Tribolium castaneum: one gene and its partner. The protein of the gene in region 2 purifies or fractionates together with the protein of the main gene of each other region. This does not show direct contact. Links are inferred from orthologs where the notes say so. Each region holds a gene or a part of one and is shown on either strand. Other genes may lie near its edges. The genes, in order: negative elongation factor A and NELF-B.

Region 1 (6,248 bases), on a different chromosome or scaffold from region 2:
TCTTGGTAATAAAAATTTTTATTAGAATTTTTTTTCAGTATTCGTTATTATATATACTGTTCTATAAAAGTAAAGGATATCTAATCTAATCACACATCAGTAAATATGCATCTGCCTTTTTTATATCTTCATTCTTTTTATTAGGTTTCAATGCTCGAAAAGTATTGTTTAGTATTTGTTTGTTTTTAAAATAATTAGACTTCTTTAACTGTGGTGGAACAAATGTGTACACTATCATTCCCTAAGTTATCTATGCGTATAAGTTAAGAACCTGTATTGAGATAAATATTATTTACAGTCTTCTAGAAGCTTAATTTTCTCGATTTTTTCGTAATATTTACTTTTTATTTTCTTATTTGTTTATTGTGAGCCTGTAACTATTTATTTCAAGAATTTTTTCGAAATGGTCAAAAAATTACGTTCTTTTAACTAATTCGTAAATAATAGTAGGTATACCAGTACGAAAAGTTGAACAGTGCTAGTCTACATACAGTGCTGGGCAAAAGTATGGATAAAACAAGCGTTTTTGCATGAATACAAAAAATAATTTGTATTATTAAGACTGTTAAAAATGTGATCATTTGTGAAGAATATTTTTTTTATAAATTCCTTTTAATTTTACCGATACCGTTTATGAGTTATGCAAAATTTAATTGTTTTAAATGGAAGTCTACTGCGACCATTTTTTGGTTAAAGATTACTAATTCAATAGTATTGTTTAAACAAGTTATTATTTTAATAAATTATTAAAGTTGCGTTCTGAGCTCATCATCAGTACATCACTCATTCATCAGTCTTTACCGAAGAGGTTGTTTTATTTATTCTCACCTTGTTGGGTGCACAAATAGTGGATATTACCATTCCATTGTAATAGACTAATGGAATACAGTTTAAAATAGATCAAAGAATGTCTTGTTACAGAAAGCTTTTTAGAAATTTTAAATTTCATTTCAAAATTTTATATTTTTTACCATTTTGCACAGGTTTTAAATAAGTAATTATGTAATTACTTAATAAGTTATCAATTCTTATTTGATGTATGTGACTAACTGATTACTGAGCTGGTTACAACCTATTACAAAAAAATTCTGTTAGGGCTTGACGGGACTCGGTATCAGTCTTTTGGGGGCTGTTGGAGGCATCGCCCACCACCCGCTTCAGAGCATAATGGCCGATGGGGCATCACCCAGGTCACTCGCAGCGGGTGTCGGATTAGGGCTAGTGGGAGTCTTAACTAAGCCTTTGAGTGGAGCTGCCGAACTGGTGGCGTTGACTGGTCAAGGTATAATAATCGTAAATTTACAAAACTGACTTAAAAAAATTAAAATTGTAGGATTATTGCAAGGGGCCGGGTGGAATCCCCTACCGCAACCTAGGAGTGACCTGGTCAAAAACCTGAATCTGTTAGATTCAAATTCAATGTTAAAATACGAATGGAAGTTACTAAGCTCGCTGACTTATAAAAATGTGCTTTTTGCGACTGAAGCAACGATGTTTAACGATTCTGAGTTCAAAGGAATTGGGTTGGTTTTGGCACCCGATGCTTTGATTATTGTGAATCTTGATGATGATAATGTGAAACGGATAATTAGTTTGGGGCAAATTCAAGTCGTTGCGAGTGATAACGACCCGACTTATCTATCCTTCAGGATTATGAAACAAAAGTGTGAGGAGGAGTGTGTGGTCGAAATGGACCCAGCGTCGAGGGCTCGAGTCGCCGATTATGTAAGAAGTACGGCAAGTTTGTTACAACTACCCGAAGTTAATCAACATTCCGTAATCATGGACGATACCAACGAACAGATTAATTGTTATGTGAATCCGCAAAATCGGAATTATTTCGTTTGCCTGCTAACACTAGCCAAACAAATGAACAGCAATTATAATTTTCCTGTGTTATAAACTGTTAATAAAAGTATGAAACTAAATGAGTGTTTAAATTTCCCGCTGTATTGTTGTAGTGCTTTGAGTGCTAGTCAGCTGGTTGTTGGCAGCACCGTTCCAAACGCAAAATGGCGAATGTGCGTGACAGCGATACGTCTTTATGGTTACACAATAAACTCGGAATTTCGAACGATTCCTGGACGGGGGGCTCAATATGCTCGCAATTGAACGCCGAAGTGTTACGCAACATCAAAGACTGTTTTCCCGATCTTCAAACCCAAGTGAAATTAAAGCTTTTGTTGAGTTTTTTTCACATCCCGCGCAGGAACCTCGAAGAAGTATGTTTACAAATAAAAGCCCCCACGGTTTCCACTTGTCGTTATTAACCCCTTGGTTGCGCCCCTTTTAACTTTGTCGTCTAATAAAGTTGTTTGAGGTTATGGCGTACTCACTTGCTACTTTGTTTTTAGTGGAAGTTAGAGCTGGAGCAAATCCTCGATGTGGCCGTCGCCGATTCGGAATTGTGGGTCGCGATGTTAGCTGAGGCTTTAAAAACGTACCCTTCAACGGGGTCCCTAAACACAGAAATTTCCGACTTGGACGAAGTGAGACCCATTTTCACCGATTTAGTTACAGATCTTCGGAAACTGGTTCGCAAACAAGCTGAGAATGTTATGCTACCCATGGAGTGCCACTATTTAAACAAATCAGCCCTTGTCTCTGTCGTAAGTCTCTGACATGTGTCACTTGTCACAATCACAACTTTTTTTTGTCAGGTTGGCCATAAACCAGAGCCTACTAAACACTTCACCATCAAAAAGAAACAAAAATCGGCAATTTTACGAGCAGATTTATTACAAAAATCTTCAGATGCGGCCTCAAATCTCAAAAAATCATCAGCTCCGGTCATTCCAGTGCGCTCGAGAGGCATGCCGCGCAAAATGACCGATACAAGTATGCATGATCGTTGTTTATTTGACAGTTGGTAGCATTATTTCTTGTAGCACCCCTGAAAGGAATCCCGAGTAGAGTCCCGACATCGGGCTTCCGCTCCGGTGCATTAAACAACAATATAAACAATCGGCCCCCATTGGCCCGCCCTCCAGCCGGACGCAAAGAAGGCGGAGTCAAACTCTTGGACATAGCCGATCAACCACTTGGCTACGCTGCGGCTAAAAAACGAAAGAAGATGCAAGAAATTGAAGACGCGAAGAAAAACACCGAAAATGCTGCCTTGCAAAGCCCCCCACCTGTTTCAGGCACGACCACCACTCCCGATTATGCAGCCGGTTTAAGCTCCACCCCAGCCTACGCGCCGCCCACGCCACAGCCCATCCTCGCACCAACCAGTAATTATTCGAATTTGAAGTTTGTTGTTCCTATTAATTTTTTTCCAGCAGCGTCTTCCATTTTAACAACTGCGGTAACAGCACCGGTAACTACGGTTACGACAGCGCAGGTGGCAACGCCGACCGTGAAACTGGCAACAGTGGCGGCGACACAGTTGCCAACTATGCGGCCTGTACCACCCCTATTGGCAACAACGCCAAGTGGGCAGAGGACGATTTTGACCGACCAATCGGTGAAGGCTGTCGGCCAAGTGTCAAATATTGCGATTGCGCAGAGGACGACTCAGGCCACGCCCACTGTGACGCATATCAGGATCCAGCCACAGACGACGTCGAATGCTTTGCAGAGGCGGGGCTTAGCATTAACGGTGGGTTTTTGATTACGAGTATATGTTAAAAAATTCTATTTTTTGTTTTTTTTTTTCACCAGAGGGAGCAAATGTTGGAAGCTCAGGATATGTTCCGAACTGCGAACAAAGTGACAAGGCCCGAGAAGGCGTTGATTTTGGGTTTTATGGCAGGGTCAAGGGATAATCCCTGTCCTCATTTGGGGAATATTGTCACTATTAAGTTGTCAGAGGATCAGGAAAATGTGTTGCAACCTGACGATACTTACCTGACTATGGTCGCAGAGACTCATTTCCAGATGAATTATAATAATGGAGAGTGGAAGAGAATCAAAAAGTACAAACATATTGATAATGTTGTTAATCAGATGCCACAAAATACACCAGCTCCTGCTGTTATTGGGAATTAAGAAAATTTTTTTGTTATTTATTTAACATAGGAATTGTTTTTTATTATGCTTCGTAAGAAAGAAATATTTATTTACGATTTTTAAAGTTTAAAAAAATCGAATGTAACGTTATGTTAGGTAAACAGTTTGATAAACTGAACGTTAAGTTTGTTGTACATATTTTGTAAATATTCTAATTTGTAAATAACTGAATAAAAAGCTACGCGCATGTTTACTTTTTTTTAATCGTTTGGAAAACGAACGAAATACAATGAAACCAACCCAAATCCCAAAATTTTGTAACATAAAAAAACTACAGGGTGATTCAAGTGTGTCGAGTCATCTCATGGATAAACGGCATCCAAAGTTCGTATGACAAAAACTTGTTTAATTTTTTTCTTTAGTAATCACACCATAGTCATCGTTTGCTATTAAATACTTTATTTTTCTCTTTATGTGATTTTTTGAAAATTTTTCTACAATTCCTTACAATTAAAATTAATTAATACTGTGTTGCTAAAAAAAAATTGGACATTCTGAAACATCCGCTTGAGTGTTTTGTGCAAGAATTGCGCAAAAGAAAAAAGCGCACAAGATAATGCTCACACAGAAAAAAGCTCACGGAAAAAACTCACATAGAAATAATCGCACTTAAAAGATACCTCATATGGAAACAACTCCAGACAGAAAAACAGTCCACACAGAATAACACCCACAAAGAAAAAAACTCACAAGAAAAAAGCTCACGCTAAAATTAACTCACTGGAAAAGAAATCTCTGTACCTAATCGTGGATAGATTTATAAATTTATAATTATTCGGATAACAATAAAAATATTTTATAATTTGAGAATCAGTTTTTGTTACTATTCAAGGAAAAAGTAAATTAACATATTCAAAAGTGTAACTATTCAATTTTTTTTTAGACAAAGAAACTTAATTTTATGTTGTAATTTTTTTGTTTTACTTATAAATTAAATTTTTTTTTAAATTGATTTCAGCTTTTCGGCGTATAGCTTAAACGGTACCTAAACCTATACTGAGTGATCTCTCCGCATTTGTCATTTTTTGCCATAATTTGTTGAAATCTTATTCACGCAAATTATAAATACCTATCAACAAATTATCCCGTAAGTTAGGGAATGATTTAGCAAAAATTTGAAGTTGAATGGGAAATAGGAAAACGCATCGTAAAGTAAAGTACATCAGAGTTTTTTCAAAAAATTGTTTTGGACCTAAATTTTAAGAACCGCTGAACCAGAATGATAAAAATTAGCTTGTTATTTCGCTAAAAAGGCCTTAAATTAAAAAAAAATTCGATAAAGGTACCTCGAGAGCGTTAAATGATAAAACGTTTACAACTGCATCACCCCGCAAATATTACAATCGACTCATTTGAAACGGTTTAGTTTTTTTTTTTTTCAAAATAACTAAGTTTTCGAGAAAATTGCTGCGATATTCGAATTGCTATACCCGGCTATAGCAAACACAAATACTTTTCTAACAATGATCATTTTAACAGAATTTAGATAATTGATGCAATCTCTATACGAAAGCGGAAACAAAAAAAAATGTTCATAACAATAACTGATAAAATTATCCCTCTTCTTTACGATTTCTGCAGGTCTTGGAGTGTTGAAAACCGCAACCTATATTATCAAAAGTGCACAAAAAGATGCCATAAAATGATTTTTTTAATCAGTTATGGAAGTGGAATAGGACAAACAAATAGTTTATTTACGAATAGGAACTAGTGGGCTTTCAAAAGAACGTGAGTTTTTATCCGTGTGGGCTTTTTTTGGTGTAGGTTTCCTTTCATGTGGGGTTTTTTCTTTGTGGGAATTATTCTGTATGAGCTTTTTTCGTGTGGGCTTTTTTCCATATGAGGTTTTTTCGACGTGGACTTTTTTCTTTGTGGGCATTTTTCTGTGTGAATTTTTTTCTTTGCGGGTTTTTATGTTTGTGGGCTTTTTTGGGAGCTTTTTTCTTGTGCGCATTTTTCGTGTGGGCTTTTTTCTGGTCAGCGGCGAAGGAGTATAGAATTGGAAAATTAGTTAATAATTATTATAATTGTTACAAATTTTGTGTGTAACGAAAAAAATTAATTTTACGATGTAATAAAACTCATCAAGTACCTACAACAACTTTATAACATTTTGTAAAATTCTTATTTGTTATTTTCACTATTTTTTTCCTTTCTCGTGTGTAAACGAGACGGTCAGTGTTTAATAATTAGTTTGTATTCATAGCAACAATCTTTATTGTTGTTTAAAATTGTTT
Region 2 (6,248 bases):
GACTTACGACTCACCGAGACTTCTGTAAAAAGTAAGAATATTGTGTGTTTCGGACAGGGCAATATTAAATTGACACGTAAATTTATTCTGCCTCTGGTAAACGATGCAGCTGTACAATGCCAAAAATAGGAAAATGCATTGTTAGTCTTTAATAAACGAAATTATAAATAACACTCTACAAAATTATAAAATACCACTGTTTTCATAACGTATGGTGATACGGAGCAGGCGTTGGCACACTCATTAGAGGCGAGTTGAGGTCAATATCCATTTCAAGAGGTACAGCAGTCTCCTCTTGCGAATTAATCTTAGTCTGAAGCGTTTCGTACAAATTGTGAACCTTTTCGCTGTGTTGGTGCGTCGGTTGCAGCGCTTTCATCAGCGTGTGTAAACGACTAGCCGGCAGTCGGGAATGTACATACCACAGCAATTTCAGTAAATGTCTTGTCACGTTCTCCCTCGTCAGCCCAGCAAAAAAGAATTCGTCGAAGAGAACAGTACAAAAATCCTCAGCTTGAAACTCCTCCGGATTATGAATAAGGAAAATGACCTGCGGAAACCACAACTTTGCAAATAATTAACACAAATGTGTGTACACGTACGAGAGAGTGGAGGAACGGGTCCTCAAAAGCCCGGTCGTCTTTACAGTTCGCCAAAACCGTCAAGACTCGCAGCAGCCCCACCCTGTCTTTAAGCCGGGCCACGTTCAGGGTGTAGTACATGGCGAGAATACTGGCGACTGAACTGTCTTGAATGTAGGCCTCCACTGCATCGGGCAAGGGCCCCGAATGTTCGATAACTGTGATAGCAGCTTCGCGTTCATCTGGGGGCAATTTGCCTGACAATTGCCGCACTTGGTCGTCGACCATGAGCGACATTAGGGCCGGCAAAAATTTCGTAACGACCTGACTGTCCAGTTTGGGCTCTTTGAAGTCTTGGGAGTCGATCATGACCCAGGCACTTAGACCCAAAGCCAACATTCGCAAGAGCAAAATTAAAATCGTATTGTCCTAAAATATTCGTATAAAAATTATAATTTTGTTTCGAAAATTCTCATTATTTACCCTCGGCATCCCTTCTACGTATATGAGATGATGCAGGATTTTTATGGCCGACGTGGCCAAAAAATTAATGGCGTAGGGGTCGCATAAAGTCATTGATAAATCGCCCAGCACCTGCTCTTGGCCCCTCTTAACGTTATCCAAAAACCCTTGCAACTCCCTTGAGCGTTTAATGTCGACATTTTTTTCCCTAATGCAGGCATCAAGGCACCACGTAAATTTATGGCATGGATCTATCGAAATTATATCCTGAACTTCCAAATCGTGTAAGGCCATTAATAATTCGGCCCTCAAAGTGCAGTAATGCACGTTTCGGGTCCGCAAAAACAAAGTGCGAAGAAACTGGAGCACCATATCGTACAATTTAACACTGTTTCCAATCATGTGTGCCAACTTCTGGACGACTTCCCCTTGGCGCCGCACCTTGGGGGAAGGCCCGAAGAACTGGGTGCTGATGTTGGTGTGATCGAACAGCACGTTCTCTTTTTCGCTGATGTACTGACTCAAGAGAGGCGAGACCTCATCTCCGAAGAGCGACTGGTTGTCCTTCCAGATCTGCCGTTTGACTTCTGTGTCAGTGTCGTTGTACAGTTCCCGATCTCTAACTAATATTTTCAAATAGTTGTCGTCAATCTGTGGTGTGTTTTTCAAAATCGCCATCACTATCGGCCTTAAAGCCTTCACTTTGACCACAGGGAAACTCTTTACGAGTAAATCTTTCAGCTTCCTGTCCCTTTCGCGTCCTTCTTGCTTGCCGATTTCATTGATGTGTGCGATTAGTTTCTCTCGGAGTTCCTGAACCAACATCGTAATTTTTTCATTAAAGGGAAATAAATACAGCGAGTTGGGAACTTTATTCGGGAATTTTTTACTAATGGAATTTATGTCTACATGAATGGCAAACTTATCTCGCTGGACCTGAATGAGGGCACATAAAACACTTTATGTTTTGACGTTTTACTACCAAAGTTGGTTTTGTGAGATTACACGTTTATTTATGTATCTAATAGAATGTAAACCAACATTGCGTTTTATTACAAAACTTTTGTTCGTAACAATGCGGTTTAAAGCCAAAAACAATAAAATGTTTTTAAAAAAAGTACAATTACTGCAATCAGAAAAAAATCACAACAATTGAATAAGGAAATACGGTGTTAATACATTTTAATTGAAAATCAATAAATCCAGTTGTAAATTATGGAGTAATGAACGAAACAAGACACCAACCAAAAATGAGTCACATTATCGACCAACTCCTGAGCGCATTTTCATACAGTTTGCACCATAAAAGCAATTATAAACAGTTTTATAATTCTTATTAAGTAAAACCATGATACATTAAATACCATCTGATTTTCGGGATGTACTCGAGTAATAATCACATTCAAAACAACATTTAATTTAAATTTCATAATTATTATTATGAAAACATTAAAAACAACGTTGAATTTGACTTTTACCCTTTTTTCTAACTCAGATTTTCCTGAAACATCAATTTTTAGGAAAATGAGACGATTATTTTCAGGTTTTAGTCGTTGAAATTTGTTGAGTTTGAAAATCAACCCATTGAGGTCGTTTTAACACAAAAATGGAAAAATAACTTGTTTTTAAGCCCACTTTAGCTATTAAAACGTCGATTTTTTATGAAAAATACCCTATTTTTTATGTCCTTTTTAAAATGTGAGCCAGATTTTAATGCTAAAAATAAGGAAAACTAGGAAAGAGTGGGGTATAATGATCCCTCGAAAAATCCCTGTTTTGTAAAGATTTCTTAAAAAATATGAGCCAGGCGTAACAACTGAATCTGTGGTTTTTATTAAAAAAATAAATACATAGACAATAGAAAAATGACTAAGAAAAATCGGATAGTTTATAAACTATCTAGCTATTTTAGTTGAAACTGGGTTTTCTATTAGTTTGCAAACTAACCAGCTAGTGTACAAATTAGCCAAGTTTACACATTGACCGTAACATAGTTTAGTTTTAATTTTCTTTATTTGTTATTTTTGGGTAGGTATACGCCTTCCCCTTCACTGACGAAACTTATTGAACATTATTACTGTGTATGGTTTGTTTAAAATCAAATATATTGATGCCAGTTCTAGTGAACTTTAAAGTCCAACCCATCAGACATTGCCACTAATGAGGGGATTAATATTTAATGAGAATACTTTACCTCTACAACTGACATGTGAAAATCCAGTCTTCTCACCCCGTGTAGATCAAGTAATGGAAGCATTGGGCGTAATGAGGGTAAAAGTATCCCGTTTGTAACCTATAAGAAAGCGAATTTATTTACAAATCTATGGATAAAATCATGACAAAAAGTACCTGAAACTCTTCAATGGCTTTGAGCGGATCAGTGCAACTAGTTAAGGCATGTTTGAGGAAGGTGGGCCCGTGTATATTGAGGGCTTCCAAAGGGAAATCGTTTCTGGATGAAGACATTTTGCAGTACGAATCCTTACACTAGTAAAACATCAAATCGACGCAGTTTATCACTTAAATTCGGTGTTAGTATCACAGAGATTACAATTACACATCTCAATAAATATAAACACACAGCTTTCATAACCCATTATGAAAATATATTGTCAAAAAACACACCATTTGCTGTCAAAAGCGTCAAACAAAACAAAGGTCTTTCACCTATTTAAAATGCTGCGCTGTGATTGGTCGACGTCAAATACAATAAGAAGCGGTAAAAGCAGCACTATTCTAATAACTTCCGGTTTTTCAAAAGGCGAATTTTCAAAGTGACTCTGACAGTTGTCAGGAATTTTCGGCGATGCGTTAGGAGCATGTTTACATTGTGTAATATCGGGCAATTGGCGGAATTACGGTGATTTTGCGGTAAATTACGCCGAGTGTGACGACGTTAAGTGACGTAGAAATAGACGCTAGGTTGCACTAGTACGCAGATTTGGGGGAAGCCTATCAAAGCTTGTTGAAGAAATGGCATTCTTTTTGACACCCAAAGGCCTATAGTGCGCTAAATGTGGCTGGTTATCCGCCGTTCGAGTCGTAAATTCGTTAATTCATGGCTTTTTGGGGAGTTTCGTCGAGATTAATGTGAATTAACAACGTTACATGTATTGATCACCGTATAGGTTATGTTTCCAACTTTCATTAGCATCCTAGGTGTGTTTACGGAAATTCGCCGATTTGGCTTCTCAAGTGCTGTTTTCCCTAATTCTGGCCGTTGTTTCAGATATTCAATCATGGTGGGAGGTTCCAAGCATTGCACATTTTTGTTCATTGTTTCGAACAGCATTTAACCTTTTGGATTTTGATATCGAGGTAAAACCACGCAAACAATTCCTGCGTTCGGGTTTTGATTCGTTTTGCTTTGATCTAGGATTTGGAGGAGGCTCTCTTGACTGATGGGACGGAGGAAACCTCTTGGCTTCAAGAACTGATCGTGAGGCTTCTCAGTGGGTGCTTGCCGAACAATGAAATCTCAACGTTCAATTATCAGATGTTCCTGAGACGTCTCTTTCGCCAGAAATGTCAGGAACATGATCAATACAACCCATTTAACACAGACGTTGATTTCCAATTGTTACCTTTGAGAACAAAAGTGGACATTTTACATGCACTCTGTGATTTTCGTTTAGATGCTGATGATGTGCTTGACCAGCTGAAAAATTTAGAAGCAGACAGCTTGAGGGTTGAGCCCCTGGGTTATGACAGTAACGAATCTGCTTACTGGTATTTTTACGGTACTAGACTGTACAGAGAGGACTTTAAAACCAAGAATAATAAGAAGAAATCCGTGTGGCAGGTTATTTGTTTCACTGAAGACGATTGGTTTCAACTTAACAAGAAATTTAAAAAATCGACTGCTAAGTGTGAAAGAGAGTTACATCGTACTTTAAGTGAGAACTTCTTGCCTGAATTGCCCAGATTGTTCCGGGAAAAGGAAAGACTGGCCAGGAAGCGTCTGCTGGAAAATCAACCGAGACGCACTTCTCGACGTTTGAGAAAAGTAGTAAGAAGTTAATTATTTAATTTTTTTACAAGAGATTATTACAGGAAAATACAACTGAAAAAGAAGAAGTAACGTGTGAATCGCCGAAAACCAATCCTCTTGAAGAGGAAGAAAGACAAAGAAAGCGCGATTTGGAAATCAAGAGAAAAGAAGCTTATGAGAGAAGTAACAGACTTAAAGAGCAGAGCGAAGATAGCCAAAGTGAGGACTCTGAAGTACGGTATGAGATGGGCGGGACTAAAACGCGACAAAAGAAGTCCAAAGGAAGACAAAGAAAATTGTCAACAAGTTCCTCTAACAGTAAAGGTAAATACGAAATTATCAATTGTAACCTTGAGATGTACAAGGTGCTATAGCTAAGACTTTTTTATTAAAACTTTATTTATAAGCTAAAAATAATGAATTACCAAGAAAACAAACTTACCTTGAAACTTAAAAAAACGCAAGAATATTAATTAAACAATTGATTGATGTATCTAATATTCTTTTATTTAAAAATCTACCTTTTCGAATAAAAATGGTCCGATTTATGAATTTCTTACTACTATTCGTATTTATAAATAACACTATATGATCCCATGATTAGTTAAAACAGGAGACCAGGAAATTTACAAATTATAGTCTTGTTTTAATTTGCGTTTTATTGCTTATCTCCGAGAATATTTCAGGTATTTTGATTCATTAGTCACACAGATAACCTATCAGAATATTCTGAAATATGATAATTAGAACAGTAAATATAATTAATTATAACCACTTGTTAGATGCATCATCTGCGCCGAAGAGCTCAAAAAGGAAGAAAACAGGTGAGGAGACTTCAAAATCCTCGACTTCTTCCGCAACTACAACAGTTGGTCGACAAACCAACAATTCGCTGGCGGCAGCTACTGGACAAATTGTTATCCAACCTGTTACCAACTCACACAAGAAAAAACTAAAAACTTCTCAAGTGTAAGTTGTTTTTTCCCATTGCACATATTATTCAAAGTTCCTGTTGACCTAAAATTTACCAAATAAGTGGAAATTTTAGATAAATTTGGGTTTGTGAAAGTTTTCTTCCATGCATGTCCCTGCTCCTTTCAATCCCTGTAATTTTATGGTAATTTCTTATCAGAAAGATGTGCGGTTTTGGAGTAAAGTGCAAATTTTAGGTTTCGTCAAACCGACGAAGATCTAATAACAGGAATGCACAAGAT

What was found.
Region 1: the proteins of NELF-B (region 2) and negative elongation factor A purify together in Homo sapiens (affinity purification with mass spectrometry; 8 studies listed by BioGRID and IntAct, counting the BioPlex papers as one, with this or other methods). This does not show direct contact. The link is inferred for Tribolium castaneum from reciprocal best matches to the Homo sapiens genes NELFB and NELFA.

What each region holds. Positions count from the first base shown.
Region 1 is NC_087395.1:19,626,082-19,632,329, forward strand, and holds negative elongation factor A, read left to right. Parts: upstream 1-1,968; 5' UTR 1,969-2,012; coding exon 2,013-2,222; intron 2,223-2,354; coding exon 2,355-2,609; intron 2,610-2,660; coding exon 2,661-2,838; intron 2,839-2,888; coding exon 2,889-3,233; intron 3,234-3,281; coding exon 3,282-3,601; intron 3,602-3,663; coding exon 3,664-3,990; 3' UTR 3,991-4,198; downstream 4,199-6,248. Other genes in the region: intermembrane lipid transfer protein VPS13B, read left to right, coding at 1,096-1,282, 1,334-1,902. UniProt on the Homo sapiens protein: Essential component of the NELF complex, a complex that negatively regulates the elongation of transcription by RNA polymerase II.
Region 2 is NC_087394.1:30,668,251-30,674,498, forward strand, and holds NELF-B (negative elongation factor B), read right to left. Parts: upstream 3,680-6,248; 5' UTR 3,510-3,679; coding exon 3,393-3,509; intron 3,337-3,392; coding exon 3,238-3,336; intron 1,857-3,237; coding exon 1,065-1,856; intron 1,051-1,064; exon of another isoform or gene 1,011-1,050; coding exon 603-1,010; exon of another isoform or gene 551-602; coding exon 203-550; 3' UTR 135-202; downstream 1-134. Other genes in the region: pn (exopolyphosphatase PRUNE1), read left to right, coding at 1-129; uncharacterized protein dikar, read left to right, coding at 4,175-4,202, 4,273-4,361, 4,420-5,049, 5,097-5,358, 5,817-6,003, 6,204-6,248. UniProt on the Homo sapiens protein: Essential component of the NELF complex, a complex that negatively regulates the elongation of transcription by RNA polymerase II.